Alligator mississippiensis: one gene and its partner. The protein of the gene in region 1 purifies or fractionates together with the protein of each later gene. This does not show direct contact. Links are inferred from orthologs where the notes say so. Each region holds a gene or a part of one and is shown in the gene's direction. Other genes may lie near its edges.

The links.
Region 2: the proteins of LPIN2 (region 1) and FBXW11 purify together in Homo sapiens (affinity purification with mass spectrometry; 4 studies listed by BioGRID and IntAct, with this or other methods). This does not show direct contact. The link is inferred for Alligator mississippiensis from reciprocal best matches to the Homo sapiens genes LPIN2 and FBXW11.

What each region holds. Positions count from the first base shown.
Region 1 is NC_081826.1:90,813,525-90,829,272, reverse strand, and holds the start of LPIN2 (phosphatidate phosphatase LPIN2), read left to right. Parts: upstream 1-9,098; 5' UTR 9,099-9,215; intron 9,216-15,748. UniProt on the Homo sapiens protein: Acts as a magnesium-dependent phosphatidate phosphatase enzyme which catalyzes the conversion of phosphatidic acid to diacylglycerol during triglyceride, phosphatidylcholine and phosphatidylethanolamine biosynthesis in the endoplasmic reticulum membrane.
Region 2 is NC_081832.1:46,597,074-46,612,137, forward strand, and holds the start of FBXW11 (F-box/WD repeat-containing protein 11), read left to right. Parts: upstream 1-7,809; 5' UTR 7,810-7,909; coding exon 7,910-7,954; intron 7,955-15,064.

The sequences.
Region 1 (15,748 bases):
AACTTCACATTTAGGAACCAGTTCTGCTCCCACTAGGGTCTGTAACAGAACTCTGCTGGAAAAGAACTGGGGCTGCAGGTATTGTAAAAAAAAAAAAATTAATAGATTTTTGCTTCTGTTATCATCAAAACTTGTGGAAAGAATTTTATATCAGTGAACTTACATTAGAGTATTGCTTAGTTTGTTTTTTCAGTTTATTGTCTTAAAGAACTGGAAACCAACATATTTGTTCTGTTAGGAACTGCTCACTAGCCGCTCAAGTGTTATTACATAAAGTAAACAAAATACAAACAGTTAGTGCATGGTAACTAAGTAAAGCCTTTAAAATTCTAATTTTAATTATATAAGTTAGTGTCATTCACAAGTGCATGAAAAAATACTTTTAACAATACTGTAATAAAAGAACTGCTGAGTGTTGTCATTTAACAATAAAATTGAATAAAAAGTTTTCTTGGACCCTAATCTTTTAAAGAGATGCTTATAGGTTCCATTCTTGTGACATACAACAAAATGTTGTTCTTTTGTTCTCACTCCATTACATAATGACAGAATGTGATGCATTTCTAAAATGATAGACACTTCTATTATATATGCCAAGATATTTGTAACTACATTTTAAACAAACATCCTGGTCATTACAGTGCTTATCTGGAGTACTGCTTTTGGGTAATGACCTCCTTTCATCACCTAAATATCCCATTCCTGCAAATACTATTCTTCATACTTAAGTTTATAATCCTATTGTAAACTCATCTCCTGATGGTGTGACACCTAGGTTCAACAACATAAACACAGAATAGTTCACATACAAAAAGTGTGAATGAAGGATCACATGCATGAGTCTGTTATTTATCTCCCAAAATTATAAAGTATGCATTTTAAAGATGGGGAAAGAAGAGTTGTGAAAAAATTTTTCCTTTTGACTTAGGCAGAAGGGTCTGATCTCTGTTCTTATTAGCTATAAGTGAGTATAATGATTTCTGTGCTGTTGTGAAAAAACAAGTCTGTATATCTGTGGTTCTTGTTGCTCTTGACTTCTTGTAGGGGTGAGTTCAAGATTTATTGCCTAATCATTGAAAACGATCTGTCTGTAGACTCAGGCTGCTAAAACCCAATGCTACAGTACACAAAGCTATTTTATTTGCATCATCTGGTTGCAAATTAAAATAATGACCATGTTAGATATTCAGCCTGACTCCCCTAACAATAGCCATAAACTGAACACATTAATAATAATATTCCAGTCAATCTATGTTTCTGCTTGCTGGAATGGAAGAACAAATCTTTACACACAACAGATTCCATTGTCCTGAAGACAGAACAACAATTTGTAAGAACTGAAGCAAAGTGTTATTGGGAGAAGAGCAAAGAGCAGCAGATCACATGAAAATTAAAATGTACAAGGAATAATTGATTTCATCTGTATAGGAACCTGAATAAAAAAGAAAAATTAAGAGAAAATGAGTGTGGGAGACGGTCAGGGAGAAATGAAAGTGGAGAGAGACATTAAAATGGACCACTTTCCTTTGTTGACATGTTGTCTAAGTTGTCTCCCTCAACTGCTCATTATGTTTAAGGGCCTCTTTTCTGATGTCAACTCTTACCTGCCTCTGGCAGTAGACATTCATACAGTAGAGAGCAGCCACCCCCCCCCCCCCCCCCGGGCTCAAGAGAGTAATCAGGATGACTATGTGCTTTTGGCAGCTTCCCTCAGCAGCTGTGCTGCCAGGCTACAAAGTGCACCCTGAGAAGGCAACAGCTGCTGAAAGGACTTACAGCAAGTGGAAAGCATGGGTGTATCACATCAGTGGTTCTCAGCCTTTTTAGACTTAAAGCATGCCTTACTACATGCCAGGCTCCCTTTGGAAAATGCCAGTTCTTAGTTTTCACTTGATATTTGATTACCCAAAAAAAAAAAAAAGGAATTCCTGTTGCAATTCAGAAAGACCCAAACAAGTCAGAATGCTTTTAACACTATGGATTCCTATTTGAAAACTCTGGGTTTATCTTGTAAATCATGTAAGCACAGCTAACATTGCATAGCAGCCTGGGGGCCACGGCACCTTGATTGAAAATCATGTCTACATGAAACATTACTTTGTTAGGGGAAATGTTTAACCTTGGCAGCAAGCAGGAGAATTCTGCCATCTTAGAGAAATTTTGAATCTGTCTACGCTCAAAATTTTACCAGCACAACTTAAGTTCTATTGAGAAAATGTTGTGGTGTAAACTAGGCCACTTAATAACGTGTACAAGCACCCTTACTCTAACCCTTTCTGTGTGCCAGTCTGTCTCCTCTTCCTCATTCTCTTCTCTTCTCCTATCTTCTTAGAGTTTGTCTACTCATGCTAACACCATCAGAATGAGACCCATTTAAAATCCCAACGTACCTGGCAAAAGTACTTGCTTATAACTCTATTCATAAAAGCAGAACTGGGGAAACCTGGAGCAGGGGAAGGGGAGAAAGCTATAGAAAATGTTTGCCTGCCCTCTTCAGCCTAGCCACAATGGAAAGTTCTAGCTAGAAGGCACCTGTTGTTGAGGAAAATAATGGCTAGTGATTTCAAGAAGAATCAGGACTTTGTCCTCTTATCAGATGATCTGCCTTACATATTATCAGGCAGTAGTGTGTACAATGCTTGCTAATAATTGTCAGGAGTGAAGGAATATTGCTCATGTGGGGCTTGATTTTGCAATGCACAGAGCTCAGTGCTTCGCTCCGTGGCTGTACACACAGCAAACTAAAACCCCTCATAATGTCTGAGGAGTTTTAGTTTGCTGTGCCCCAAGTCATTTAAGGTGCATTATGCTGCCGAATTTCCTACAGCAGCTGGAATTAATGCACAATACTCGGCCGAGGCGTGCGAAGGCTGACACCATTAAAGTGGTGCAAAAGCATTTAGCCCACTTTAAAGTGTCATGCGTGTATGCCCCTCGTTTCATCTACACACAGCCTTAGCCTGCCTGTCTTTCCGTAATGCTTTATTCACACTCTGATTGGCTGTCTCGGCAGCCAATCGGAGTGCTCCAAGAGCGTTCAGATTGCAGGTGGTGGCAGTGCTGTGATGCCATGGCAGCAGGGACAGAGGGGACGGGGGGCTGAGGCCAGCACAGCTGGCCTTGCCCCCCCCACTCCATGGCGGAGGCAGCAGTGGCAGCATGAGTGGGGTGGGGAACATGGTTGGACTCACAATGGCGGTGCAGGGGAGGGGAGGAATGGGCCCAGGCCCGGGCCTGCCACGACGTGGGGGAGGAGCAGGCCCAGATGCTGTTGTGATGGCAGGGACAGAGGGAAAGAAGCAGGCAGCAGCAATAGAGTGGACAGAGCAGGGTAGAAGGCCATCAGCACTGGCCTACCCCCGCTCCCTGGATGCAGCGGTGGCATGGGGTGCTGGGTGGTGGTGCTCCATCCACACCCCCCCCACGACATTCATGGGAAGAGGAGGCAGGAGGACATGGGCCGGATGGATGGGAGGGGATATGGGCCTGTCCCTGCAATGGGGAGGGCATGCACAGGGCTCAGCCCAGCCCCAAAACAGTGGCAGAGAGGGTGGGGAGTCAGGGGGCAGAGTGGTGGGGGCAGGGTGGGCCCAGCCTGCAGCAGAGGGTGGAAAAGGGGGAGTAGGCCTGGCCCCAAAGGTTGGGAGGGTAGGGGGCTGGACACAGGCCTCTATCCCCACCCGCACACACCCCCACCCCCACCCATCATTCTTGACAGGCAATTGACTAGTTTGTTATAATTTTCCAGATATAATTTTTGGAGGTTTGCCTTGAAGTTGTCACCCTCCCACTGCTATAGCAGAGAAAATAAATCTTGGGGGATCAAGTAGACTCTTAGCTGCTTCCCCACAATATTTTGCCCTGGCAGCTCCTTCCCTTTTTCTTTACTGTCAGACCCTGTTCTCCCTGAACACACAGAAATAAGGAGCAAATTTGAAAACAATTATCTTGAAATTAAACATGGCTATAGCAATTTGCATATAGCACCTACTTAATTCATCCAAAATTGATACGTTACCTTTTTTGGAACTGCTGCAAGTTTTAGCACAGGTACTCCATAAACACAATTTTGAACAGCACTTTGCCACCTGCTTAACTTAGGGCTGTGCAAAATGGCAGTGTTTCAATTCAGTTTTGGATTCGGCTGTTTCGGAGGACAGTAATTCATTTCGGATCACTGTCCTGTTTCGTTTTGGCCAAATCTCCTCTGAAGCTCTTTCGAACAGGCTGTAAGCTTTGCACAGCCCTACTGCCCAGCTGGGCGGGGCTTGAGGTCAGGGGCTTGGGGCCCCAGCAGGGAGCAAGCTGGGGCTACGGGTGGTTCATCTGGGAGAGTGCCCCTGCCCTCTGTGCAGGTGAGGAGACCCCGGCACAGATCTCCCATCCCTGTCACGCCAGGTCATGGGGCAGGGAAGCAGCACAGAGTGGTGAGCAAGCCTGCTGGTCCCTGCTGCATGACCTGGCTCCGCAGGGAGCAGAGATCCACGCCAGGGATTTTCTCGCTTCCGCTGCCCACCCCACGTTGCCCTGGATCTCTGCTCTCTAAGGAACCAGGTCATGCAGCAGGGACCAGCACTGCCCTGCTGCACGACCTGGCTCTGCAGGAACAGAGATCTGCACTGGGGGTCTCCTTGGCACCGCTGCTGACCCTACACTGCCCTGGATTTCTGCTCCCTGCAGAGCCAAGTTGCATGGCAGGGCAACAGCGTACAGCTATTTCCCTGTAAGCCTGGCTCTGAAACTCCAAAACTGTCCAAAACATTTTCAAAATGTTTCAGATGCTTCATTTCATTTCGGAGATGTTTCAGAGCCTTCCATTTTGCTTCGGATTCGGTGTTTCGGGTGCCAAAACAGCCCAAAACACCTCCAAAATGAAACGGCTGCCGAAATTTCGCACAGCCCTACTGCTTATATATAGATGAGGGGAGCTGGTCTTTATGACTGTGAGTGGGACATCTCAAGGTATCCACTCACTAGCAGATGTGGCTTGCGCTGTGAAAGAAATGGAGGAATGATCATATAATCTGAATACTGATCAGGGGCAAGGAATATGCTTTGCGCTGAATAAAGACCATGATGAGGCCTCTGGATTTTTTTATTAGGGTAGTTAAAAGGTCCAGATGACCAGATGGTGTCACAGGTTACATCTCAAAGGGCACATCTACACGTTGCCATATGGCAACATTGCTACAGCGCCATGCTTTAGTACTTCCAGTATGGGAGGTAACTGAGCTGTGTGCCTGGTACATGGCTAGATTTCGCCACTGTCGCCATAGCAGCGCACTACACCAGGGAAGTGTACCATTATGGCAACGTAGCTGGAGATCATGTGTAGACCCATGTGATCGCTACATCACCGTAGCATACTATATGGTGACATAGTGTGTTGCTACATTGTTGTAGGGTGACATATAGACTCACACAAACAAGAATATAATTGCATATAAAAACTGAAAGGGTAATTTGGTTCATGTCAGCCTACATGGAATGTTGTCTAATCAGAGAATAAATAAATATGCCAAATGTGTGAAAAGAATACAATTTACCATTTTTATAGTTTAGTTTTAAAATGTTATGGAAGAAGGTGAGGGGGAGGGGGAAGAGCAGGTGAGGATGTAGGAGACAAAAACCGAGGGCTCTCTGAAGATGGCAACTCTCTAAGAAGACAAGGAAACCTGTACAGAAGATGTTGTGTTTCACATGAATTTTCCTAGCTCTAGGAACTTCTTTTCTCTGGCTGAAATGAAAGGGGTGGCTTACTAATTGAAATGAAATACTACCTGCCACTAAAAAATTATCTGTTGGCTAAGCAGCTGGTCATTTGCTGGATTTACTTTAATGTCATAATAGGATCTATTTTAAGATTGACTTTTGAGGACACAGTGATATATTTAACCCCCTCTTCTATTTCTCAGCGATAAAGCTCTCTGGTGCTGAAAAGGAGATTGCTGTCATTTTGAAAAGCACTGTCTGCTGAAAGCAACAAATCATGGGCATAGGAAGAAAATATCTGTTGTAAGGACAATTTTTAACAAATTTATTCTCACAAGGTCTAAACTGAGATAAGACAACAAATAAGGAGCACAAGAAAGCGTGGAGGGAAACCTGAAATGATTTATAACGATTCTGAATGCATTTGAAATCTTTCAAGCTTAATGGTATTTCCAGGTACCTTATGTTCAGGAAACATATTATGCAAATATAGTTGGACTATTATCATTATGCCATTCTATTCAAATGAGTGATGCCTTTGGACTACTGTAACAGCTGAGACAGGAATATCCATGCAGTACCAAACAGGGGAACATTAATTGCACTGAGCTGAGTAAGAGATGCATATATGCATGAATTTGCTCCATAAAATTTCCCAACATTCATTCAGAATTTCTATTGTGAAACCAGCAATATCAAGATGAGCAGGCTTGGCATTTGACCTGTCATTTAATAATATATATATGTTTACAAAACCCCTGCAATTCAGTGTGTGTGTGTGTGTGTTTCTAACTGCCAAAACCCCTTTTTTTCCACCAAAAATTGTGTATGCATTTCATGCAAGGAATAAATTTGTCCAATATACAAAGGTTTTGTTTTTTTTTTTTAATAAAACGTAATATTTACAAATAATGAAAGATGTGTTGATTTCACTCTTAGGCAGCACTTCCCAAACTACAAGTTGCATGGCATTTAATGACTGGAGTTCTGAGCTCTACAGATATTTAAATATATAGCAGTAAGGCTCTGCCAGAAGTGTGGCTGCTGCAGGAAAAAGAATAGGAACTCATGTAGCACAATATGTACAGAGCAAAACACATCTCTGTGGGACATGGGCATGTACTAAAGATATGCAAGAAGTTTTATGTGCCAAGATACAAGGAGCATATGCTTTTCCACCATAGCAAGGCTTTGTTTACCCATCTATCAGCAAACTAACATATCATTTTCAATTTATGATTGTTCTGTTATGTTGAATATTATGTAAACTGAACAATGTTGGGTTGTAAATTGAAAAACTCAGGAAAGCATAAGCATGGCCTTTGTCCCAAATGGGCTAAAACCTACGTTTTAAATAAAAATATGATTATTTATTGTAATAAAAAAGTAAAATAAACACATTATTATAAAAAGGGTGGAATAGTCTAGTTGACTGAACACTAGGCTGGAACTTAGGAGGCCTGAGCTGTATTGCCAACTGTGTCAGTAACTTGGATTGAAATCTTGGATAAGCCACATCACCTCTTCAGACCTAGTTTTCCTTTTTCCCTTAGTCAGGTTTATAAACTCTTCAATTCATGGACTTCAATTTAGACTTTGTGAGCATAAGCATATTAAAAACTGTCCCTACAACAGATATTTTCTTCCTAAGCCCGTGATGTCTTATTTGTTGCTTTCAGCAGACAGTGCTTTTTCAAATGAGAACAAACTTCTTTTCAGCACCAGAGAGGTTTATTAGTGAAAAATGGAAGAAGCGGTTAAATATATCACTGTGTCCTCAAAAGTCAATCTTATCCTATTATAACATTAAACTAAATCCAGCAACTGACCAGCTGCTTAGCCAACAGAAAATATTTAGTGGCAGATACTACTTCATTTCAACTAGTAAACCACCCCTTTCATTTCAGCCGGAAAACAGAGATCCCGAGTGATAGGAAAACCTGTGTGAAATGAAATGTCTTCTGTAAAGGTAGCTTCTTGTTTTCAGAGGGTTGCCATCTTCAGAGAGGCCTCAGTTTTAAAGCCTATTTTGTGCGCATGTACAGCGCCTACCACAACATCCCCGAGCCTTTCCCCAGGTGCTACCCTGCTAGAAATAATGGATAATGAATAATTAAACCAGTCCCACTGGACTCTGAAGCAATGGTGTGAAACATGTGGCTGCCCTCATGTATCAAGTCTGGCATGCCCAGCTGCTTTAAAATCTAACTTCTAATGGGGGGAAAAAACCCCAATCCTATTTCTAGCTCCCTTGAGTTGCAATAATAAGTAAAACAACTGTAATGCATGCAGTGGCACTGGCTTAAGTCTGAAACAACAGCTCTGGGAAAGTCTCTGCATTGGGTGATCTTCTGAAAGGGAATTAAGTATGAGCCTGCCCATGGCAGCATAAACGCAGTGGTTGAGGGCAGTCTCAGGAGCTGGGAGGGCGAGCAAGGTGGGGAGAAGTCTCCGAGGCAGGCAGCGCGTCACTGGGAGAACCCGCCTTGCTTTCAGTGTGTCACTGGGAGAAATGGCCTTGTTTTTTCTGTGTGTCACTGGGAGAACCGGCCTGGTTTCCCTGCCACAAGGTGAACCAGGTCAGGGTTACAACACATTAATCCCCCACCAGCACATGACAGTGAGTCACAAGCCTCTTCTGTCAGTGCCTGCTTCTGGCGATGGGAAGGGGAATCCAGGGTAGACTTGGGGAGAGGAAGGAGAAACTAAGTGCTGGCAAGGAAGAGAAACTAAGTGCTGGTTCTCCCAGCAGATTTCATGCCGCACAGAGCGCACCACCTCAGCCCAGGTATCTGCGGGCAGCCGGGGGGCAGCAGGGCACCGGTTTGTCCCCAGGCTTCCCACAAAGTGGGGCTGGCTCCTAGCCCAGCCCATAGGGCTGTCCCACCTCCCCCGAGCTGGGTTGCCTGGCAGCGGAAACCAAGCACCAGTCCCTGCACATCTCTTGTGGTTGCACACACACGCATACAGCACAGGTTCTACACACCCCCAGGCACATGCACACACACACTCACTACCCCCACAGCCGTGCACACACTCGCCCCCCCATGTGCGCACGGCCACGCACGCACGCGCCCCCCGGTGTGCAGCAGGCACGTGCAAGCAGCAGCCAGCAAGATCCCCCAGGGGCAGCCCCCAGCCCGACGCAGCGGGAGACAGAGGTGCACGCCCCGCCCCCGGCTGAGCGCACGCGAACACGTGTGCAGCGGTCACGAGAGCACACGCACACTCCCCCCTAAGCCCGGCTACTGCCGCCGGCGCCCGGCGCGTGGCCCGGTTGCCCCAGGCGCTGTGAGCTCGTCTGCGGGGCAGGGGTCACGTGTGGCCCCCGGTTCAGTGCGCACGCGCGCCCGCGCCGCCTCGCCTCGCCCCGCCCCGCCCCGCCCCCCCCCGGCTGCCGGGCAACGCTCCATTCCGCCGCCGCTGCCGCCACTAACCGCTGGTCTTGTCGCGGCAGCCGTTGCCCCCGTTCTCCCGCCAGCCTGGCGCTGGCCCGGCACGAGGTGAGTTGCGGGGCGACAGCGCCGCTCAGCTCCGCCGGGGACTGCCCCGCAGCCTCGTTTTCGCGCGCGGGGGTCGGGCTCCGATGCTCCCCCCCCCCCGCGTGTGCGGTGCAGGGCTCCCTCCTTCTCCCCCTCCCGGCCTGTTCCATCCGGGTGGCGGCCCGGGGACCCCTGCGCTCCCCGATGGCGCTGTCCGTTGGGGGTTTTGACGTAGGCGGGAGGGGCCATGCGGGGGGTGTCGGCCCATCACAGCCTCCGCCAGGGGCTCTGCCCAGCATGGGGCCCTGGTCAGGCTCCCCTCGCCTTGCCCACCGTCTCTGGGGCTCCTGGGCGAGGGGCGCTCTGCTTTGCTCTGCCTCCTGCCCCTGAGCCAAGCTGGGAGGTGTCCAGTGCTGAGCCAAGCTGGGAGGTGTCCAGTGCTGTGGTCTTGCGTTTCCACCCCCAGTATCTAGCCCAGGGCAGAGCCCCATGCCCCTGCGGTTTGAGGAGCCCCCGGCTGGTCTCTGCCGTGGCGTTGGGGTTAAGGCGCAGCTCTGGGACTGACTGGGCTTTGCGCAGCACTTGCCTGTGGCACGCTGCCTGCACACACTGCTCACTTCGGGCGCCTGGCGGGGGCCCCGCGCATCACCTACTTCGTTCACACTTCTTTTCCATGAAAGCAACTGTGGCGACCGTGGGTAGCCCCCTTGAGGCCCGTTGTATCCCCTCCCGGCTGCAGCTGACTGGAAAGTGTGAGGCCATGCAGGAGGTTGAACCTGTATTGCCTGGGAGGGTTTGTTTCTGAACAGTGGAGAGCAGCGGTTGCCCAACTGTGGGTCGTGACCCTAAACAGGGTCGCAGCATCAGCCGGTGGGGTTGTGGGGATGAAGGGTTGTGGACTGGGAGTGAGGGGCCACGCTGAGGAAATGGGACCCTAAATGGAGTCTGGGGAAAAATTTGGGAAGCACTGGTGTAGAGTCTCCCACCCCCCAGCTAAACAAAATGCGAGTGTTTTTGTCTCATAACGTGGCTTTTTGTTTATATATAACAATACGCGTGGCTTTACTTTATGAGCCCTTAAGCCAATTTTTCAGAGGTGGTTCCTGACATTGTACTTAGTCATAGAGAAGTCAGGCTGAAAGGGACCTTCTAATCCGAACCACCCCACACAACCGTAATCTAAACTCTTACCCTCATCCCTGACGCAACATAGACATAATGCCCTAACTTGCCATGAGTAAAGTAAGGAAACCACAGCAGCCGGTGTCCTTCTCTAATTTACACACGGATCTTGTAATTCCTGTGTACATCAGGCATGTAACTGCCTGTGTAGTCCAAGCAGCCTACTGTTGCGGGTGAAGTACCTGTGTCTGGGTGCTACTCACAGTCATCTATGAAACGTTGTCTTTGTTAACTTACGGAGCTTGGGCAGCTAAAATAGGTGAAGTGGCTGATTGGGACATACACGTCTAAAAAAAATATTCTAGGCGTTTGTTGTTTGTGGCATAGAACTTGATGTTGCCGTAAAACACAGCAGAGAATTTACTTATAATTCCCTGCTTCGGATTGGGTCACATCTGATTCTAGAGACAGACAAGCTGTACCTGCTTGCATTTGGCATCTCTTTAATTATTATAATGTCTGGATGTCCCAGCTGCCAGCTCCCCGTTATGTTAATACAGCCAAAGAACCTTGGTTTAGCTGTTTTGGTTGAAGCTACTTCAAATGCAAGTTAAAACTGGCATCTTTATAGACCTGAGGTGTCACTGGGCTGTGTCCAGTCACAGTGGCATGGGTCAGGGAGTGGCATGGATCTGGTGGTGGGGGTCAGACTGCAGCAGGTGAATTACGTCTGTATCTGCACAGCCTTGCTAGCCCCTGGCTGCCGATGACCATGTCCATTGGTTTCTAGGGACCCCAAATTCTGTGGTAGCCCATGCCTCGCTAGCCCTGGCCTGCAGCTTCTAGCAGCCTGCCGGATGGAGCAGTTCTGTGGGCTGGATTTGGCCTGTGAGCCATGTGTTTGACACCATGACTTAGGCCTAGGAAATTGTCAGACACCATTTATTGTGTGTTGCAAAAATATTAGTACATAGTAACAGTATAGCATTATTGATGAATGCACAACTGTTATAAATAATTAACATCATATGGATATAAGCTTTTCATTACTTTTTTCTAGGGGAATTCTATGAAGTGGTTGAAAAAACGAAAAACAAACTTATGTCTTGTTCTCTCTCCCCCTTCCTTCTCTTGTGGTACAGAATTGTGGTTGACTGCCTTCTGAACAGTGGCATATAGGGATGATTTTTGGTGTCATGTATTACCTCTAATTAATCACCAGAGCATTGCCACTGAGTGGCTTAAGACCAGATCTTTTTCCAAAACTGAGCGTGGTCCAGCTTAACATTGCCAGTCCATGCTGTCTGTAACCGGAAGCCAGTCTTTCATCTTTTTTGAAAGACCATGCAGTCTATTTGTGAGTTGTTTTCCAGATGGCAACTTTTAAGCTACCACTTACTTAAGTAAGTCAGAAATATTTTCCTGAGTGATAGTAAAAGCTGCTGTCTGGAAAGCAAATCATGACCAGACTCTGCACTGTCTTGTGGAAAGATGAAAGACTGGCTTCTGATGTCAAATATTGCTGCATATTTAATTTGCTTATGATAAGTCAGCTGCTGAATTTGTATAAAATACTGGGTAGTTTGTGATCACATTTGACCCTGAAGCTTATTCATTAGAGGGCTGTGTATAAGTAAAAGCCAGAATTCTGAGAGTATGTCTGATACTCTAATATATGCGTGTGATGATTTGCATGTCTGACATAGCAGATCTGCAGGTCTTTGCTTTGTAGACTTTTGATCTTGCTGGAGTTGAGAATAAGGCTGTTCTAATATAAAGAGAAAATCTGGTGCAAACATTTTAGTGTTATAGGTGTCCAGGGGTTTTTAAAAATGTAAATAAAATACTCCACTTTGCTTTGTGCAACATTTTTACTATGCTCAGTTAATTTACAAATGAAATATCGTTTAGTTTGCTACTTTTGCTTTGTGATTGTTATTTGTTAGTAGTATGTTTGCAACATAGTCGTATGACTGCCAGCAGCAGAACTATTATAATGTTCATAAAGGAAAGGGATTTATTGATAATTTTCTGGTCTGAAAGTGATATGCCAAATCAAACCAGGATAGTTTAGGTTATGAAAAGCCTTATTATTTAGAGTTTTTGTGATAAATTCATATAAGTTTTATGCATATGCATTACTTGTGACATTTCTCCTAGGGAGTTCTCTATGGTAGTGGGAAAAACAGCAAGTTTTTTCCATTCTTCCCTTGTGGCCACCATCTTTCTGGCTTTGATATCATACAGGGTATATAGTTCTTGTTATGACTAAGTGTATGCTAGGTCTAACCAAACAATATGGTACTCCTTTTCCCAATTTGTTACGGTGGGTGAGAATTCTGAAACCTTGATTTAATTTTGGGGTTTGGGTTTTTTTACACTTTTCAGTAATAAAATACCAAAGCTTTATATACAAATTAAATGCGTACCTATCTTTCTCCGTTGGCACATGTAATTATCTCCAGAAAATGGTAATAGGGTTTAATACAACAAAGAGAAAACGATTCTCATCTTCTCTGGTGTCTTGTGATTACTCTATATATTACCTTAAAATTAGCTGTTGAAAGCTCATAAAAGAAACTTTCTAGCTGTGCCAGTTTATATGGCTATCAAAATACCTGTTAATAGGATTACTGCTTATGAGTTCAGAGATCTGTGTTTGACTCGGATCATCATGATGTAGTGTATGGATACGTTTCACACTTAAAGGTGAATAAATGAATGTGAAGCAACTTTAGTGGGATCTTTTTTAACATTTCAGTCTGCATGGATTCTTCCTTTCTGAAGGTGGGAAGGGAGTGAAAAATCAAAGGTCCTCATAATTCAAGTTAGATGAGTTCATGGAAGGAACCTTCCACATGAACGGATCCCTTCCCTTTTGTGTAGAACAGAGGAAAAATATTTTACCTATAAGAGATTAATGTGCCTGTCTACAGAGTTCAGTAGCGACTTGCTGAGAGTGGAAGACAGAGGGTTGCGCTTTCTGGGCAGTGATGTGGCTCCAGAAGAAACTGCTAATATGAAGATAGGCTTGTAAAATATTAGAAAACTTTTTGTGAAATATGTCTATGAAGATCCAAAGTCTGCAAGATTAGGAAAGAATTCAGTATCCTTTTGGAGAAAAGGTAAGCAATCTTAAAAATGCCAGAGAAATTAAGGCCTTAAGAAAAGCAACATAACCTGAGATGTGGATTTAAACAATAGCTGTATTGGTGTAATCTACTCTGTGGCCTCTCTTATTCCAGTGTTAAGTTTAATTTAATGCCTTACCAAATTACATTGAAAAACTACTATGTTGCTTGGGAAGAGGTTTAAATTAAAACAAGGGTTAGTCTGCAGACGCATGCAACAATTGAACCATTCCCAAATGTCACCAATTCAGAACCAGCTCCCAGTTTTGTGTGTGAAGTGCTGTAACTGCCAACAGGGGTTGGGAATGAGCACCTAGCTCAGTATGTTTCATAATGGGCAAGGTAGGGGCTGGGGAGGGAATGCTTGCACCCATGCTTCAGGGGTGGGTGATCTGTGATTGGCACATCTTTGCTTTTATGCTTTCCCTTCTCCTAAACAGAAGTTCAGTACACTTTAGTAGCCTGCCATTGACCAAAGTCTACAGTGTGCTTTTTCTGACTTGAGATGGGGATGAGAGAATCTTGGACCCATGTTTTTGGCTTCCCATTAGCTGGAGGCGCCTGATAAGGGTACACAGTCTAGCAGAAAGTGAAGGACACAGCTGGCTGTTACATACCCTTTACTGAACAAGCAGTGCAAGGGGGCTTATTGATGAAAAGGGCCAACAAAGGGGGCAGTAGAGTTTTGGCTGCATACCAGAATGGCCAGTTGCAGCAGTGGTGGGGAAAAGAGCCATACAGTGTGAGATGCCTGGAGGACCAACCAGACCAGTGCCACGGATGGCCTGGTATCCACCCATAACTCTTAAGTGGTTTAAAATAGTACTTGATTTTCCAGCTGCACTTTTGAACGGTTACAGGCACCTTTAAAACAGTTTAATAGGCTTGTATATCTGGCCCCTGGCTTGTTTGTTTAAAAGTGCCATGGGATCTGATCCCCCATCCCAACAGTTGCGCCTCCTGCCATGCCTCATGCATGGCAGGAGGTGCAATTTTGGGGTCAGGGATAAGATCTAGATCACACCCTCTCTAGTTGCCAGTGCAGTTGTAGACCAGCCTCAGGATCTCAGGCTCACTCTGCACTGGCAGTTTGAAAGCTGAGCACTCACAGCCTTGAATGACCTGGCATGGGCCAGGGTCAACAATCAAATGTTGATACTTGGCCCTGGACCTGGGACTACAAAGGGTCAGTTCAAGACCCTGGTGTGGTCCTGAGGCCAGGCCTTACAATCAGCTAATTGTCAGCCCCAGCCCCAAGTCTATGGAGGGCTGGTTTGAGACTCCAGTCCAGCCCTAGGAGTACATGGAGCAGTTAGAGACCACGGGTGTCTTGGAGTCAGGACCAGCAATCGGCTGATTGAAAGCTTGGCCCTGAGGTAGCCTTGGACATGCTTCATGTTTAGGTTAAGTTGCCATACAAACCAGTCATAAAAATCTTCTGAATAATATGTTCACTATTATATTTGTCATTTCATGGTGTCTTAAGTTGGGTGCACCCTTGCCATTTATATCCCAATTAACATGTTACTTATACCGCAAATATGAAATGTAGAGGTTCTGTCTGTCAGTTTCAGATTTAAACCACATTTAAACTGGACTGTGTGTGTTTGGCTAAGTACAGTCAAGAAACCCAAGGCTGAATTAATTCAATCTTCACAGGTTAGTCTAAGCTGTGTACATTGAGCCGATAAGCAAGTGAACAGACTTTCACTTTTGATTCTGGAAATGCAGTCACATGCCTGCACCCTGCCATAGTCCAGGCCAGAAGCCAGGAGAGGCTACCTCATGCTAGCCTCCCTGCTCAGCTGGATCAGACAGTTTGAGCCAAAGCTAGCCTGCCTACCCTGGGAGGGTAGGAGAAAGTTTGCAAGGGAGGTACAAAGCATCCTTGGATGCTGGGGGACTGTGAGTAAACTTGAATCTGGAGGGGATCTGGGACATTAGTTCAATAAACCAATTTAACCTAAGTCAGTTAAGTCCTGATAAATCCTACATCCATCTAGGATTATCTTAAACCAGTTTTGGCCATTGTGAAAGCGGTTTATGCACACTGAACTTCTATTGTGTTACAGATTTGAACCAGTTCCCAATTACTTATACTGGTTCATGTGTAATTTCTGTCCCTAGCCTTTGTGTCCATGTTTTTAGAATAAGAGTTTAGAGAGCAGTCCTAAGAACTTGTGTTTTTTTTCCCCTCCCTCCTCTTGCTATGCTTTTAATGAAAAATATTCTGTAGTCACTTCCGTGGCCCTTAATGCACTGTGTAGTGTACACTACAAAGTTTTGCTGACAGAACTCCAG
Region 2 (15,064 bases), on another chromosome or scaffold:
TGGGGAGAGGGGGAAGGGGCTCTATGGTTTGGAAAGGGGGGGGGAGATGGGGGTCTGTTGTGGAGGGAGAGGGGAAGGGGTTTGTGTTTGTGGAGGGGAATAAAGTGCTTTTCAGAAAACTGTCCACAGTGAGCATAGTGCTGAAAGTGCATGATGGGGTTGGGGTTTGAAGCTGGCTGCCCAGGTGGTCTACAGCAGGGAGTGCAGGGGCAGGTGGTTCACCAGTGCCTCTCGTACATGGTGCCCTGGTCCCCGCTGCCAGGTCTGTGGCTGACCTGGGGCCTTGGTGTGGGGGGGTCCATCACTGCTGCCATAGCTGTCACTTCTGGTGCCAGCTGTCCTCCGCCCAGGCCTCAAGGAAGAGCTCCCTGCAGGCCTCACAGATGTCATGCAGCACACAGGCTGTGATGATGACCCAGGGGATGTTGGCTTCCATAACCTCCAGGCAGGCTGTGAGGATGCACCAGTGTCCTTTCAGGCAGCCATAGGCACATTCCACCAGTATGCAGGTCCATCCCAGGCACCTGTTGAAGGGTGCCTGGCAGGGGTCCAACTGGTTGGTGTAGGGCCACATGACCCAGGGGAGGAATGGATAGGCAGGGTCCCGCATAAGAAGGGGCAGGACCACCAACTTGCCCAACCAGAGGTCCAGCACCCCGGTGTGAAGTGCCCACTCTTCACTAGGGATGGCAGGGCAGAGTTGCAGAAGATGTGGGCATTGTTGACGCTGCCTGCCATGGTAGTTGATGACAACCTGGAGCAGGATGGAGTGGAAGCCCCAACGGCTGTAGTAGGGCCAGACACTACGGGGCAGGCAGGTGAGGGGGACGTGGGTCCTGTCCAGGACTCTGATGCACTGGGGGAAGCCCAGGGCATGGAACCCCACCACCACCTCCAAGGGATCGTGCATCCAGTCACTGCATGCCCCCAGGATGGCCTCTCTGGCAGTTGCCTTGCCCACACTGAAGATGTGGCTGACATAGTACAGGCTGGTGACTGTGGCCAGCTTGAACATGGTGATGGCCAGCTGGGTCTCTGCAGGGAGGAGCAGCCTCATGATAGTGGCCTGCTGCTCCAGTTGCAGGCAGAGCTGGTTGAGGAGCTCCTGGAAGGTGGCCTGGGTCATGCAAAAGGACTCCAACCACTGCTAATCATCCCAGGTGGTCTGGACAACATGCAGCCACCAGTCCTGGCTGGTCAGGTGGGCCTACAGGTGACGGGTCTGAAGCCCCAGTTCATGGATGGCACTGGTTGAGGCGTTCATGGCAATGTCATCAGCATCCCTGCTGGGGTCTGAGTAGCAGTTCAGGGGCTGGGCAGCAGCAGTGCAGTGGCAGGAGGTCTCAGATGCTGTGGTAAGTCTGGCCATGAGGCTGTGCAACACAGGGGAGGGCAGGCAGGGCCAAGACTGACCTCGGCCAGGCAGTGGTTGCCTCGGTGGCAAAGTGCAGCAAGCAGGGTGGCAAGCAGGAGCCTGGGGCATGGATCATCACTCTTGGGGCCTGGGGGTGGAGCAGCCATCATGCAGTGAGCACAGGCTCTGGTGACAGGGTTGGAGGCCTGTGCCAGCATGCTGCAGCCTGCTCTGGGACAGAATTGCAGGTGGCCACGAAGCAGCGCACAGGGCTGACATTTAGAGAGGGTGCCTGGCCTCAGGTAGCTGTGGCTGACGCCTCCAGTGCCTCCTGGCTGCTGCAGGGGGACAGTGCAGGGCAGGAGGAGGCTGGGAGCAGCCTAGTGCCTTGAGGAGCAAATCTGCTCCCAAATAGCCGCACATGTAGATGCCTGCCCAAGGAAGCTTTACTCTGCAGTAAAAAACTGCGCAGTAAAACCATAAAGCACTAATTGCACATGTAGACACACCCTGTGAGAAGGCAATAGTTTAGCCTGGCTGGCAAGTCCCAAGCAGTTTCCTGCTCTGCGGTTAAGGGGAAAAAAACACATATTTCCCCTTGTAAACTGAGCATATATGGTCACTCTGCATTTATTGTGCCACAGGTTGTATTAACAGATGTGCTCAAGACTTGTCAGTATAAATGAAAAGGGGCTGTTGGCTACATGTTGTCAGGTTAGACCCTTTTGGACCAAGTTCTCAGCTTGGTTTAAAATAATACTAATATGAGGACCTTCAGGACACATAACAAGTAGGGCTGTGCAAAACAGCACTGTTTCGTTTCAACTTCCATTTTGCTGTTTTGAAGGGACAGTGTTTCGTTCTGCTGTTTTGAAGCACTGTTCCACTTTGTTTTGTCGAAACTGCTTTGCTGTTTCAATGCTGCTTTGACGTGTTTCGATGTTTCGCCCATAGGCTATAATGGGGAATCACAAAAATGCCTATAGCTTTATCATTTCTTGCCAGACTTAGATGGAAATTGCAGGGATGGTAGCTCCTTCTGAGGGCATGAAGACTGCCAAGTTTCAAGGAGATAGGTGCAGGGTTTTTTGTGAAACCACACCTCAAACTGTTCAAAGCAAAGCTAGTATCACTTGCTGGCAGTGGCAGCCTGCTGTCATCCTGCACGCAGATCCAGGGGCCCGCTCCTCCTGGGAGGAGTCTGGCACAGCCCTGCAGCCCTCCTGGGGGGACCGTGCCCCCTGGATCTGTGCAGGATGACAGCAGACTGCCACTGCTGGCTGGGGCCAGTGCCAACACTGGGTTCTTTCTGGCGCAGGCTGCACCAGGCAGACTTGGGTGCTGGTCCCAGCCAGCAGCGGCAGCATGTTGGCATCCACATGCTCCACAGCCAGTGTATGTAGCTTTGAAAAAAAAATAAAGGCCCCGCACTCACCAACTCTGGCAGCTGTGATGGGGGCCTCTGAGGGTTTGTGGCAGAGCCCCTCTAAGCAGCACAGAGCAATGGGGGGCAGCCAGGGTCACACCCTCCCCGCCTGGCACCCATGCAGCAGCTGTACAATCTCACATGTGCAGTACAGCTCGGCAGGGTGCTGTGCGCTGCCTGGAAGCTGGGGCAGCTCCACATGTCAGCCAAAGCTCCCAGTTCGATCCCCAGCTCTCTGATCATCAGGGATCCTGGTTTCCTCTGATAAAAAAACACAAATTCTCTGACAAAAAAATCACAAATTCTCTGATAAAACTCCCCAAATCCATTATTAAAATTAAAAGTCCCCTGCAGCTACCCCCCCCACCCACTGATGCTCCTCAATCACCCCCCAATGCTTCTCCCAGCCCTGATGGTGCATTTCACTGCTCTCAAAGACCCCCAGCCCTGCTGGTGCCCCTCACTGCCCCCACCCCTCAGCCCTGCTGGAGGGGGCCCCCAGCTGCCAGGGCAGCTCCCTGCCCCCAACAGCAGGCAGCTGCAGCAGAAGCAGCCCTGAGCTGGCTCCCCCACTGCTGCTGCCTGCTCAGGCGGGGCTGGGGCTAGCTCCCCCCAGCCCTGCCAGTGCCCCCGCCAGCCATGACCTGCAACCCCCCAGCCCTGCCAGAGGGGCCCCTGGCTTCCTGTAAGTCCCAATTACCTCAGGCTCCAGGAGCTAAGAGTGAAGCTGAACTGAGCGCAGCCATGGCTGACAGAGTCTCAGGCCCTGCCCTTCCCTTTCCCCCTCCCCCTCCCCCTCCAGGCAGGGCTAGGGGTTTCTCGTCCTGTTTGCAAACAGATTTTGCAGACTGGAGCTCAACCAGCCTGCAGAGCTCTTTGCAAAAGCAAGGAATCTGCAGGCTTTTCTGCTAAAAGGAGAAATCTGTGTTTTCTCTGATAAAAAGGGGAAATCCATGGTTTTCTCTGTTTTTCCATGAGAAACAGAAAACCAGGATCCTTGCTGATCATTCCCCCAGCTCTTCCTGGGGGACGCAGCCCCTCCTGGATCTGTGCACAGGGGTTTCAGCAGGCTGCTGCTGCCAGCTGGGGAAATAGCCCAGAGCTGCTGCCATCACCACCTGGCAGCAGCAGCCTGCTGTCAACCCACATCATCCAGGGCCTCATGCCCCACAGGAAGAGCTGCGGGAAGCGATCAGAGAGCTGTGGAAAAGATTGGGGAACTGGGGAAATCAAACCGAGAGCATTCTCCCAGCTCCCTGTCAATTTCCCAGGCTCCAGTTTGATTCCCCAGTCTGCGCTGAGCACCAGAAAGACTGCAGCGCTACTGCTGGCCTCAGCCTGCAGCAGCAGCCTGCTGAAACCCTACACACAGATCAGGGGGCTGCGCCCCCCAGGAAGACCCGGGGAAATGATCAGAGAGCTGGGGGATGTGATCAGAGAGTGGGGGAATCAAACTGGGAGCTTGGAAATCGAACCGGGAACTAGATGTCAGTATCAGAGCAGTCCTTTTCCCCTCCCTCTCCTTAGTTAGTGTCTAGCTCCAAGCAAGTCTGGCTTCAAAACTCAAAACATTTTGAAACTTTTGAAACATTTCACGTGCCCTCCTTTAATTTTGAAATTGTTTTGAAGCCTCATTTAGTTTAAATTTCACTGTTTCTAGCTCAAAATGTATTGAAACAGCTTTGAAATGAAGCACCTGTTGAAATTTAGCACAGTCCTAATAACAAGGTCCCTCTTTTGACACAGATATTTAAAATGGGGGTGGGGGGAGGGGAAAGGAAGGGGAGTATAATTGTAAGCAAGGGAATTGTTTGAAAGGAAGTGATATTTGCTGGACTTGGGACACTCTCTTAAAGATATTCTGAGTGCATTAATAGGTGCTCTAATTAGCATTTTTATGAGCCTAAATAAATAAAATTCCATTGATCCCAGTGAGCACTGAAGCAGGTTGCAGCATCAAAAGGAAAAGACGACTCTATATCGTATTTTCACTTGTTCGTGAGCTATATCTGGACCAATTCTAATTAGGTGGTCAGGAGACAAAAATTTCATCCTCAAATCTAACTGTTGGAAAAGTACTTACTAATTTTCACTCTAAGTCCCCTTTTCACCATGAGGACAGTATCATTAATGCTGTGCCATTACAGCAGACTTCTGTTTATGACATTTTTGTCTCTGATTTTCAGTGCTGACTAATTCACTCAGTCCCTGCTGCATCATCAGATTGCAGTCCATGTGACCTTGATAACCCTTGCCAAAGCACCTGAGATTTAATCATTACTGGTTCTTGTCTCCAGACTTATTAATGTACTGTTGCTCCAATAGTTTTTCTACAAAGTCTGCAGATGTTCAAACTGAATCTGTCACTCTGTACCACTACGATGCCGTCCGTAGAGGAAGAGGATTCCTGTTCTCTGCCAGCAGGCTGGCTGCCTCGGAATGGGATGCAGGCACTGAGGAATTTTGTAAATGTTTGAAAAAGCAGCTCACAGCTAGGAATGCAGATTGCATTCATTTCAGTAATGCTTATGTGATACTCTTACACTGTCAAGCATTTCAGTGTTTTCCAGTGTGGTTTGTTCCATGGTATTGCTCCTCATCTTTTTAGAGTTTTTTATGTTAGTCTCTGTAAGTCTATATTTAACGTTAGATTGAAAGTTTCCTGTGACTAGGACTGTTTTTCAAATGCTGAACACAGGCAGCACTTGGTGAATAATAATATTGTAACATATCTCTGGTCCCATAGATCTTAGGAACTGTCAGAATACTGCTCAGAATTTGAAAGTAGCAATAGGAATAGATTTTAGATCTCCTTATTCCTAAAGTACACGGTGCAATCCCATCCGCCAGAGGAGAATACTGTTGGGATGCTAGTAATATACAGTCTGAGATGCATCCTTAACAAAGTGTGATTACACCACTTAGACGGTACTGATACATGTGACCAATAGTCAGTATGTTATGTACTGCTTCACTTAGACAAGATTTGTCTTCAAGACCTGACATTTCATGGTAGTCCAAGTCTTACTTGGCGCAATCAGCGACAGGAGGCAAAAATAGCACCATATTTAAAGCTGCAGTTTTCACCTCTCTATCAGTCAGGAGTGAGCTGCAAGCAAGGCCCCTCCAGCAACCCATGGTGGGTGGTGGCTGGGAGGGGCACACAGGGGAACCTGCAAGGTTACAGGAGCTGCAGCGGAGCCCACTTGCACTATGAATTTGATGGGGCCCTACCAATAGGTTTCAGCATTTCTGCTGAACCACTCCTTTTCCCCTACACATTAGTTACTTTATGTGGTGCAAGTTAATAATGGAAGATAATTATTTAAAAAGACATTTCCCCTGTAGTGTTTGGAATCCCAAAATTACAACAGTAAGAACTTGAAACCCACTATAATCTAAAAAATGAAATTGGTTTTCGAGGGAGGACTGTAAACAATGATAAGTAATATTCCTTCACTTTTTTCACAGATTAAACTATGGAGAAAAAAACCCTCTATTTCTAAACAAAACACTGTCCAAATATATTGGTATGTTGTATTGTCTGTTGTATTGTCTCAACTAACGATCTTGAATAGAACTGGTATCTGCACTACTAGGATGAGAATATTAAGGTGCTAGAAAGGTAAAAGTAGTATTTTTTGGGGCATCTGTTATATGAATTAATTTTGTGATACGATTACCTAAAAACAAAGATTGTTACTGTATAGCTTTGACATATATACACACACTACCTGGTGTTTTACTTCTTGTGTCAAATGAATTTTCTTTTTTCCCAGTGGTTCTCAAACATCAATGTGCTAGAGAAACTGTGGCCTGGTTCTGAGTTACATTTACAGTTATGCCTTTACACAACCCAGGTAGTGCAAAGGGGTTTAAAATGGGCAAAAATGGCACTTGCATACTTCCTTGCCATATGGGTGTGTTACAGCTGGGATCAAGTTGCTTTCTGGCAGACAACCTAACCTGCACCTTCCACTCCAAATGTGTAACAGGGAAATGAGGAATTAGACCAACTGCCCATATAAATCAGTTATGACCAAAGTACTGGACTATTGAGCTACACGAAAATAAAATGGCCTCCCTATGACATCTATCAGTGAATAAGCTAATTTCGCTGTTCCACTTATCTGCTGGCTAGAAAATGTGTTGGCTGGGATATAGTGGGGATGGTCCTCCTTTGAGCAGGCACGTGGACTGCTTCCTTCCAACCCTCGTTCTCTATGGCTCTATACCTGTCCAAAAGTGCCGAGGAGGTGTTAGACTGGAGGGGATGAGACCAGTCCGAGAAGAGAGTATTGGAGAAAACTGGGTCCTAAATCCAGAGCCAACAAGCTGGTGCCCCTCCAGGCGCTCTTCCTTTCACTTCCCCAGCAAGGGCCTAAGGGGCAGCTGGACGCGGCCGCCTCCGCCTCTCTCCTTGCGGGCAGTCCGGGCCCCCAGGAGGAGGTGTTCGTGTTACGGGCGCAGGGCCCGGCTCGAGGAGGGGCCCGGGTGCACGAGGGACACAAAGCGCTGAGCAAAGAGTTTCACGTCTTGTCCTGTGATCGCGGCGCCGGGCCGGGGGGAGCGGGATTTCCCCAGCGCCTGCCCCGCCCGCGGCACGGACTGAGCGTCCCCAGGGCCGCGTCCGGCTCGGCTCGGCTCGGCGCGGCGCTCTGCACGGGGGTCCGAGACCGCGGCTATTGTGAGCGCGGCACAGGTCTGCGGCCGCCTCGACCCGGGGAGCGCAGGCGCGTCCCACCCGCCCCAAGACTGCAGGTCCCAGCATGCGCTGCAACCCACTCGCCTCTTTGGCGCGCGCTGTATGCCGGGAGCTGTAGGCCACTCCGCTTTTGCCGCGGGAGGGCGCCGCGGAGCCTGGCGGGAGCCGTAGTCTGCGCCCCTCCCCTCGCTGGGGGAGGGGGGCGGTGCTTCCGGTTCCGGGAGCGGGGCGCGTTACGCCGCGGCGGTTGCAGCGTGCGTGCAGACGTACGTACGTGCGTGCGTCCGGCGGGCGGGGGGAGGGAGCAGCCGGCGGCGGCCGAGGTCGGAGCGCTCGCGGGTTCGGTTCTGCGCTGCGGGGCGGGCGGGCGCGGGGAGGGGGAGCGAGGAGCCGCCCGCGCGGGGCCGCCGCCCCCGCCGCCGCTATGGAGCCCGACTCGGTGATCGAGGACAAGACCATCGAGTTGATGGTGAGTGGCCGCCCCTCCCCCCGCCGCCCGGTCCAACCCAGCCCGGTCCGCCCCCCCATCCATCCCCCCAGACGGACGGCCCGAGCCGCGGGCGCTGCCGCAGTGGGAGCGGAGCGGAGCGGAGCGGCGCTAGGCCGCGCGGCGCGTGGGGGAGGGGCTGGGACAAAAGCCCGCGGCGGGGCGGGGCGAAAGTGACACTCGCGGGGCCTCGCGCAAGGGGCCGAGGCGGGGCGAGCCCTGCCGGCGGGGAGGAGCCCGGGCCCCGCGCCCCGCGTGGGCTTCTCCGGGCGCCTCCAGAAGCCGCTCGGCCTCAGGCGGCTGCGGCTCCCGCCTCTGGCGCCTCGCACCCGGCCCCGCGAGCGATAACGGGTGGCGCCGAGTGGCGGCTCGGGCTTGTCGGCGGGCTGTGCCCAGGTGCGGCCTCCCGTCGGTCCCGTCCGCCCCGCACCGGGGGGACACCGGCTGTGTAGCAGGCCGGGGCTGCCACTTTCTGATCACAGATGGAGGAGGAGGCGGGTGGGGGCCTCCCCCGCAGCTTGGTCATGGTAACACCGCCTTCCTTAGGGGCTGGGAACCATCCTTAATATTCAGACCTGGAACTTGTCCCCTATTTGTTCCAGAAGCCCCTTTCCCTGCCGCTCCCTTGTTCTGTGTCGCCCACACGGGGAACGTCCAGTGGCAGCTAAGTGAACTTGTGTTTTTGCAGCAGCACCAAGGAGCTGGTTCAGGGCAGCAAGTGTCTTGTTCCCTGCAACTCAGCCAAATTCGTGCTGTAGTTGTGGCATGAGGCTAAATATTTATGCTTTGAAAATGAGGTCTGCAGGGTTGCTGTGGGGAAGTAGAAGGGAAGGGATTAACATCTCTGGTGCTGTGTTCAGTGTAGAGCAAGCTAATTTAAAGGCACCATTGAGTATTCGAAGCTAATAACGGGAAGAATAATAAGAGTGTTCTAGACACACGTTTTCTATGTACTGCTTTGTGTTTGTATTTTCTTTTAAAAAGAATGACGTGGTGGCACAATTAGAAAGGGAGATGTCAGTGCACACTCCTAGTGAACACTGAAAGTGCTGGGTACTGTATTGGCATAAGATAAAATGCATCTGAATGTTTTAAGCAGCTCTACATGCTGGTAGCTGTGTAGTCTGAGCAGACTGGTTTGGGGAACTTGTGAACTTTCTTTAAAAATTCTGTCATGGCTGAGTGTTATACCACCTTGTTCTTCTACTAAGAAGCAAACATTCAAGAATGTCTCTCTCTCTCATTTTATTATCAGGTGCTCTTTCTGCATTTCTTTAACCTGTGGATGCTGATCACTAAGGTTTCTGGATACAGCTGGTCTTAATGATTCCGTGATCACTGTCGATCCAGTGATCCCACATTTTAATGTTGGTGACATCAGAATCACTCATGCTAATGGATTGTAACAAGAGTCAGTGATATCTATGAAGGAATCTGTTAGAAGGGCCATCTAGTTAAGGAATTAGTTGTTTTTGTAGGTATAAAACCAAAATAGCATTACAAATCTGAAGTGTGTAAGCATAATTTTGCTGGCTACTTTGCTTTGAGTAATGGATGATTACATATGATGTTAGTGCTGCCTAAATGGAATTTAAGGTACTAGGTAGAGTTGTTTTGCGTATCTAGGTTGTTCCTTTGACAGTCTGTTCTTTAGTTGTATTAATAGCTTATCTGTTTCTTTACTACATTGCTAACTAACAAAAGCAAAGAATACATTTTAAATGACACAATTGTTATACTCCCTAATTCCTGAAAAATGGAATGGATAAACAAGTTTAATGGGACTTTTAGAAAAATACTCTAGAAGATTTTTTTGTATAGGAATGAGTATCAAAGCTGCTTTGTGTTGCACAACTGGAATATAAAAAAGTACAGTTACTTCAGCTAATGTGTATATATAAGTTTGTAGCACTTGCAGAGCTCATGTGGTACTGATCATCAAGCTTGTCAGAGCTGCTATTTTAATAAAAGTTCATAAATAACATATAGTGAATCAAATTAATGAGATGTATAACCATTTTCACAGAAAATTGCTTAGTAAAAATGTAGTTGGTAGTCATGTTTTTAATGCTGTTGAAGGCCTTTGTTAAAACAAACTTGCATCACTGTGAGCTAAATACTATATTCAGTTGATACAGACTTCATAAACCAAGATGTGACATTTCTTTAGCTACTTGACAATGTTTTTACTTTGTAAACATTTCCATGGGATGTTAGACTTAAGACTGGGTGAAATGCTGTTTACTGTAAAGTAAACACAAATGAAAGTACTATTGACAAAAAAGAAATGTGGCCAAGAGAGAAAAAAACTTGCCTTTGTACTAAAACTGTCAGCTGTTAGAAAGAATCTTTCAAATGGAGATCATTTTAAAACACAAGATTTATTTTGCTACTTTTTGCATTTTGCAATTATTTTTAAGTAAAATAAGCTATGAGCATTGAGGTTCTAAGTGCAGGCTCTTTTTTGTGCCCCTCTGGTATAGTAAATAACATTTTACTTGCTGTACCTTTCCTGCAAGAGTGGGGAAAAATAATTATGGGTGAAATTTTTACCAATGAATAAACTTATTAGTAACAACTGGAAGGGAATGCTGAATACTTAAACTGACAAGCAGGATATAATATAGAAACTCTCATGCAATTAACATGTTGCTATCTCTCATTTGTCCCTAAGTTTGATAATTTGCATTTATTTAAAAAAATCACTAGTGGGAAAAATATTGTTCTATACTTAAAGGTGAGATTTAAGTAAAATCTCGAATTTGTAGTCACGTTAAATGTGGGTCGTAGGCTTGGGTTTTAGATACCTTGTTTTACTTTTGTATGTTTTTTCTCTCTCAACTTTTTTTTCTCTTTAACCTTTGCTAAGGGCTGTAGTTCCAATGTAGTAAAAGTATTTTGAGGATTTCATTGGTGATGGTGGTGGCAGTGGTGAGTAAGAGTGAATAGCCTCTGATATAGACATGATGAAGTACATTGGCCAAAGGAAATATTTTCTGGAGATGTAAGGCTTGGAAGACTTAATGTGTTTCTAAACTGCAGCCTGTGTGTCATATCTTCTATGAAAATGAGTTTAACATGATTGTTGTTATTTTAAAGTATATATTGCTCAGTTTTGGTAAAATGTCTTGTATGCACAAGACAAATGTCTAGGAAATAAATAGTAAGGAAGCAATTCCCAACTGATGGAAACCCTGAGTAGAATAGCCCAAAAGCCTTGTACACTTCCTAACTTTTACAAGAACAGCAAAATAGCATTTTTGAATGACACTGTACAAAGTTAGGTAACCTTAACTTTTCTGTTCTTCTTGATTCAAATTCATCCATGGACTTCACTCTAAGATAATGATTGTTTTGTGTGTCATTTGTGATAAATGGTATTTAAGCTGAGAACTAGAAGCTGAACTCTAAATGGGCAGTAACGTACGGTTTCATCTTTTCAGCCAGAAAAAGTGTGTTTGTTTTGGCGGCAGGGGGTGGTGGTGATTGGGATTATTGCTGACAATTCATGTATTGTATTTTTTTTTTAAAGTTTCATTCATCCACTGCATTCATTCTGCTAAAAGACTCCTTAATCAGTAGCAAAAAATTTATTGGCAGCTTACAGTTTGCATTAGCGTGTTATGAAAGATGCAAAAGTGAGGAACATGCTATCTGTTTAATATGAAATCGATATCCTTTTCCTAGAGTGGAAATGTAAATCTTTGTTTTCAGGCTGTGGATCTATCCAGACACTTACCAGACTTGTTTATTGAGGCAGGGAGCCAAGCATGTTTAAAGATTTGCACATGTTGAGTTTGTTATCATAAATATTTCTATAACACACTTGTGTTCATAATATTTTTACGAATGCAGGTCACTGCCCTGACAAGCTTTCAGCCTAAATTCAACCTAGTGCGTGCTGTGCTTCGGGAGTAGAGTGAAAGGCTTATGGAAGGCCAAGGACTAGGAGGAGCAAAAGCTGTTTAAGTTTTTGAAAAGCATCTATGTACACTCAGCTTGAACTTATAATTTAAGAGTATGTTTATGAAATATCTCCTTCCTTATCAGTTACCTTTACTGTCTACCTAATAGAACATGCCCAGAGTTTAAATGTTTGGGTGAAGAACTGTGGTTTATACTCTTGTCAAAAAAACTGTCCCTTTACTCCTGGAAAAGCCTTATGATAAGCACTGAATGCCCTCAAATCCAGAAGGCAAGCAGATTGCAGAATCGGGTAAACAGTCTCCAGAATCAGAGAGTACTTGGGCAGCAGCAGTTTCTCTAGCAAGCCATGTGAATGTTAGCTGAAGTGTCCCGATAATTTGATAGTAATGGGAGGTGGCTGTCGTCTCAAAGCATTTAGAGGTTTACTCATGTAGAACTTGAAGCATTGTTGTAATGTTTTGTCTCTGCCAAGTACTGCTTATCAGGTGAGGAGCTGCATTTTGCACCAGCTTAAGTTTTCAAAATGGTTTTGAATTATGATTCTGTTTAGAGTGTAGTAGAGTCCATTTTGAGGAGATGAAAAATATGGATAATGGCCTTAACTAGATCTGAAACAAACAAGGAGGCACTGTCTTAACCAAACGTCTGTTAAAAATCTTGGCAGCGATTCTTAAATCTGTAAGCAGGTGAAGAAACTAACAGGACTAATAGGTTGTGGCTTAGTGTAGACTAGTGAGCATGCAGTCAGCAGGGTAAAAATGTACTAGTTTTGCCAATTACTTCTCATAACCTACAGTCATTACCTCAGCAGAACTGGAGAGGTCAGTAATATGAGGATTGAAATGGCATAGAGGGGTGGGATGAAAAGATGAAAGAACCAGCTATTGGGTCAACCTGAGGAATACTAGACAGCTCCATATATGGAAAAGAGATGGATTGAGGGCACTTCCTAGATGGAGGGAGTATCTGGAGACAGTGGTTGGAAGTTGCAAGATTAGAAAGTTTTGAGGCAGGAGGTACGAAGAGTGCAGCTACGGAGGCTGGGAAGGACAGGGCTCAGTATAAAAAACAAGATTGCTGTGATTTTTGCCAAGAAAGGGGAAAAGAAGAAGTTGGAAAGAACATGAATAAGATGGACCATTTAGATTGGAAAAAGTTGAGTGATGAAGGATTGTGATAAACTTAAGGGAGGTGAGCAAGAAATTTGGGAGACACGTTAGAGGACAGCATGAGAGAGTATTTGCAAAAGTGAGAAGGGTGGGATAAAGGCTAGAATTCAGATGGGGTGTGGGGTGAATCAGCATGTAGAGTAAGCAGAAAGGAAGACTGAATCCTTTAGGTATTGGCTTGTTCATTTGGGTTGTAGCCACACACAAGAGCAAAGGTTATGATGCATTCAGACCTTTACTATATTCCAGATATCCAGAACATTTGCTTGCCTGACTGTTTTAATTTTCTAAATGTGTGTGTTTGAGCCAGAGTCCTTTTAGATGGATGCTCTAAGGTCCAAGATAGGGTTGTTCAACTTGAAGCCTATGTGGGGTTTAACTTGCAGCCCTCAGGCTTCTTCCTGGCTGTTTACTGCTGCTGGGGTCTCCAGCCTTCCCCTTCTTCCTGTGATTTCTGCTTCCTGCCTCTGCCCCTGATGGTGGGGTGGCACTGCCCATGGGAGCTTGGTGAGTCTTGTGTAAGCTGTGCAATGCGTAGCCTTCGTCTGCTTTTAAGTTGGACAGCCCTGGTCTAGAGCAGTGGTTCTCACCTTTTTTTGTACTAGGACCCATTTGTAAACATCAATGGCGAGTCCCAGCCCACTCTCTCTCACTCCTGACCCTCTGCCTCCACCCAGGCCCCAGTCCCCAAGTGTGTGGGGTAGGAGGGTAGGTGTGAGGCATGCATGTGGGGGGCCCAAGCAGTCCCTTGAAGGCTGTAACTCTGCCAGCCTGCAAGGGAAAAGCCACCGTTTCCCACACTTTTCTCCTTTAAAGAAGAATCCATTTTATAAGTTGGTTGATCCATTTTTAAAGTCATTCATGACCCTTTCATATATTCTTGTGACCCACTTTTCGGTCGTGACCCACAAGTTGAGAAACACTGGTTTAGAGTAATGATAATGCATTTAGTGGGAAAGATGATCACTGCTACGTTGTCTTGCAACTCGGTGGACAGCTAGCATTTGTGTTGTCAGAAGTGGCTCAGCTGATTTTCAAAAACTGAACTGAACTTCGCGTACATCCTTTTGCGTATTTTAGTGTCAATTGTACCTCTTGAGCAGGATTGTTAAATAAATGTTGCAAATGTACCACTTGAGGTTTTTTGGTCATCTTTCCAGTTTACTTCAGTAAGATGGCTCAGTTTCGGCTGTGTCAAGGTTAAGACCTGAGGACATTCTTTGAAGATCAAATGCAGTACCTTTTTCCTTCCATCCCTTTCCTGCTAAACACTGCTTCAGTTGTTGTATGAATCTGATGGGTGTCCTTTAGTTCATAAATGCTTACTGACGTAGTGTCGTAGAATATACAGTTCATTGTTACACTGGCATATTCAGTGCGTCTTGGATCTCTTCTACATTCGTGACTGCTTTTAAGCATTGTGTAATAGTGTGTAAAATAAAATGGCATATGGGTTCAAAATGAAGTGGATGGCATGACAAAGATGCAAAAAAGAGGAAATAATGTGTATGGAACATTAAGAGAACATACCTATACGGGAGCATTGCTCTAGCCTACTAAAAGCCTACTCAGGAAATAAATAGGAAAAAAAAAAAAAAGAATGAATGCTGAGATTTGAAACTACCGTTGGTTAATAATTCTATTTAGTTTACCACCTTTTCTCCATAGTGGCATCCTTTCTTGTGTCTAGTGCAGCTATCTACATTTTATTATGTTTTCTAAGCTTGAAGTTTGGCCATAGTAGAATTGGGAGTGGCTTGCTACTTGTAGAAACTGCTCAGACTGATAGGGAAAAGGCTGTGACCATGGGCATAGCCATAATGATACATGTTCATTTAGTTCTATTGGCTGCACATAAATTTAGTTAAATGCACCCATGCTACCATCAAGGGTGTTTTCTTGAAAGAGATTTTATGGTACATATTTTGCAAGCTTAAGGCATAGCATAAATCCCCTGTTCCCCCTCTCCCCACATTTATAGACTCATTCTTGACTT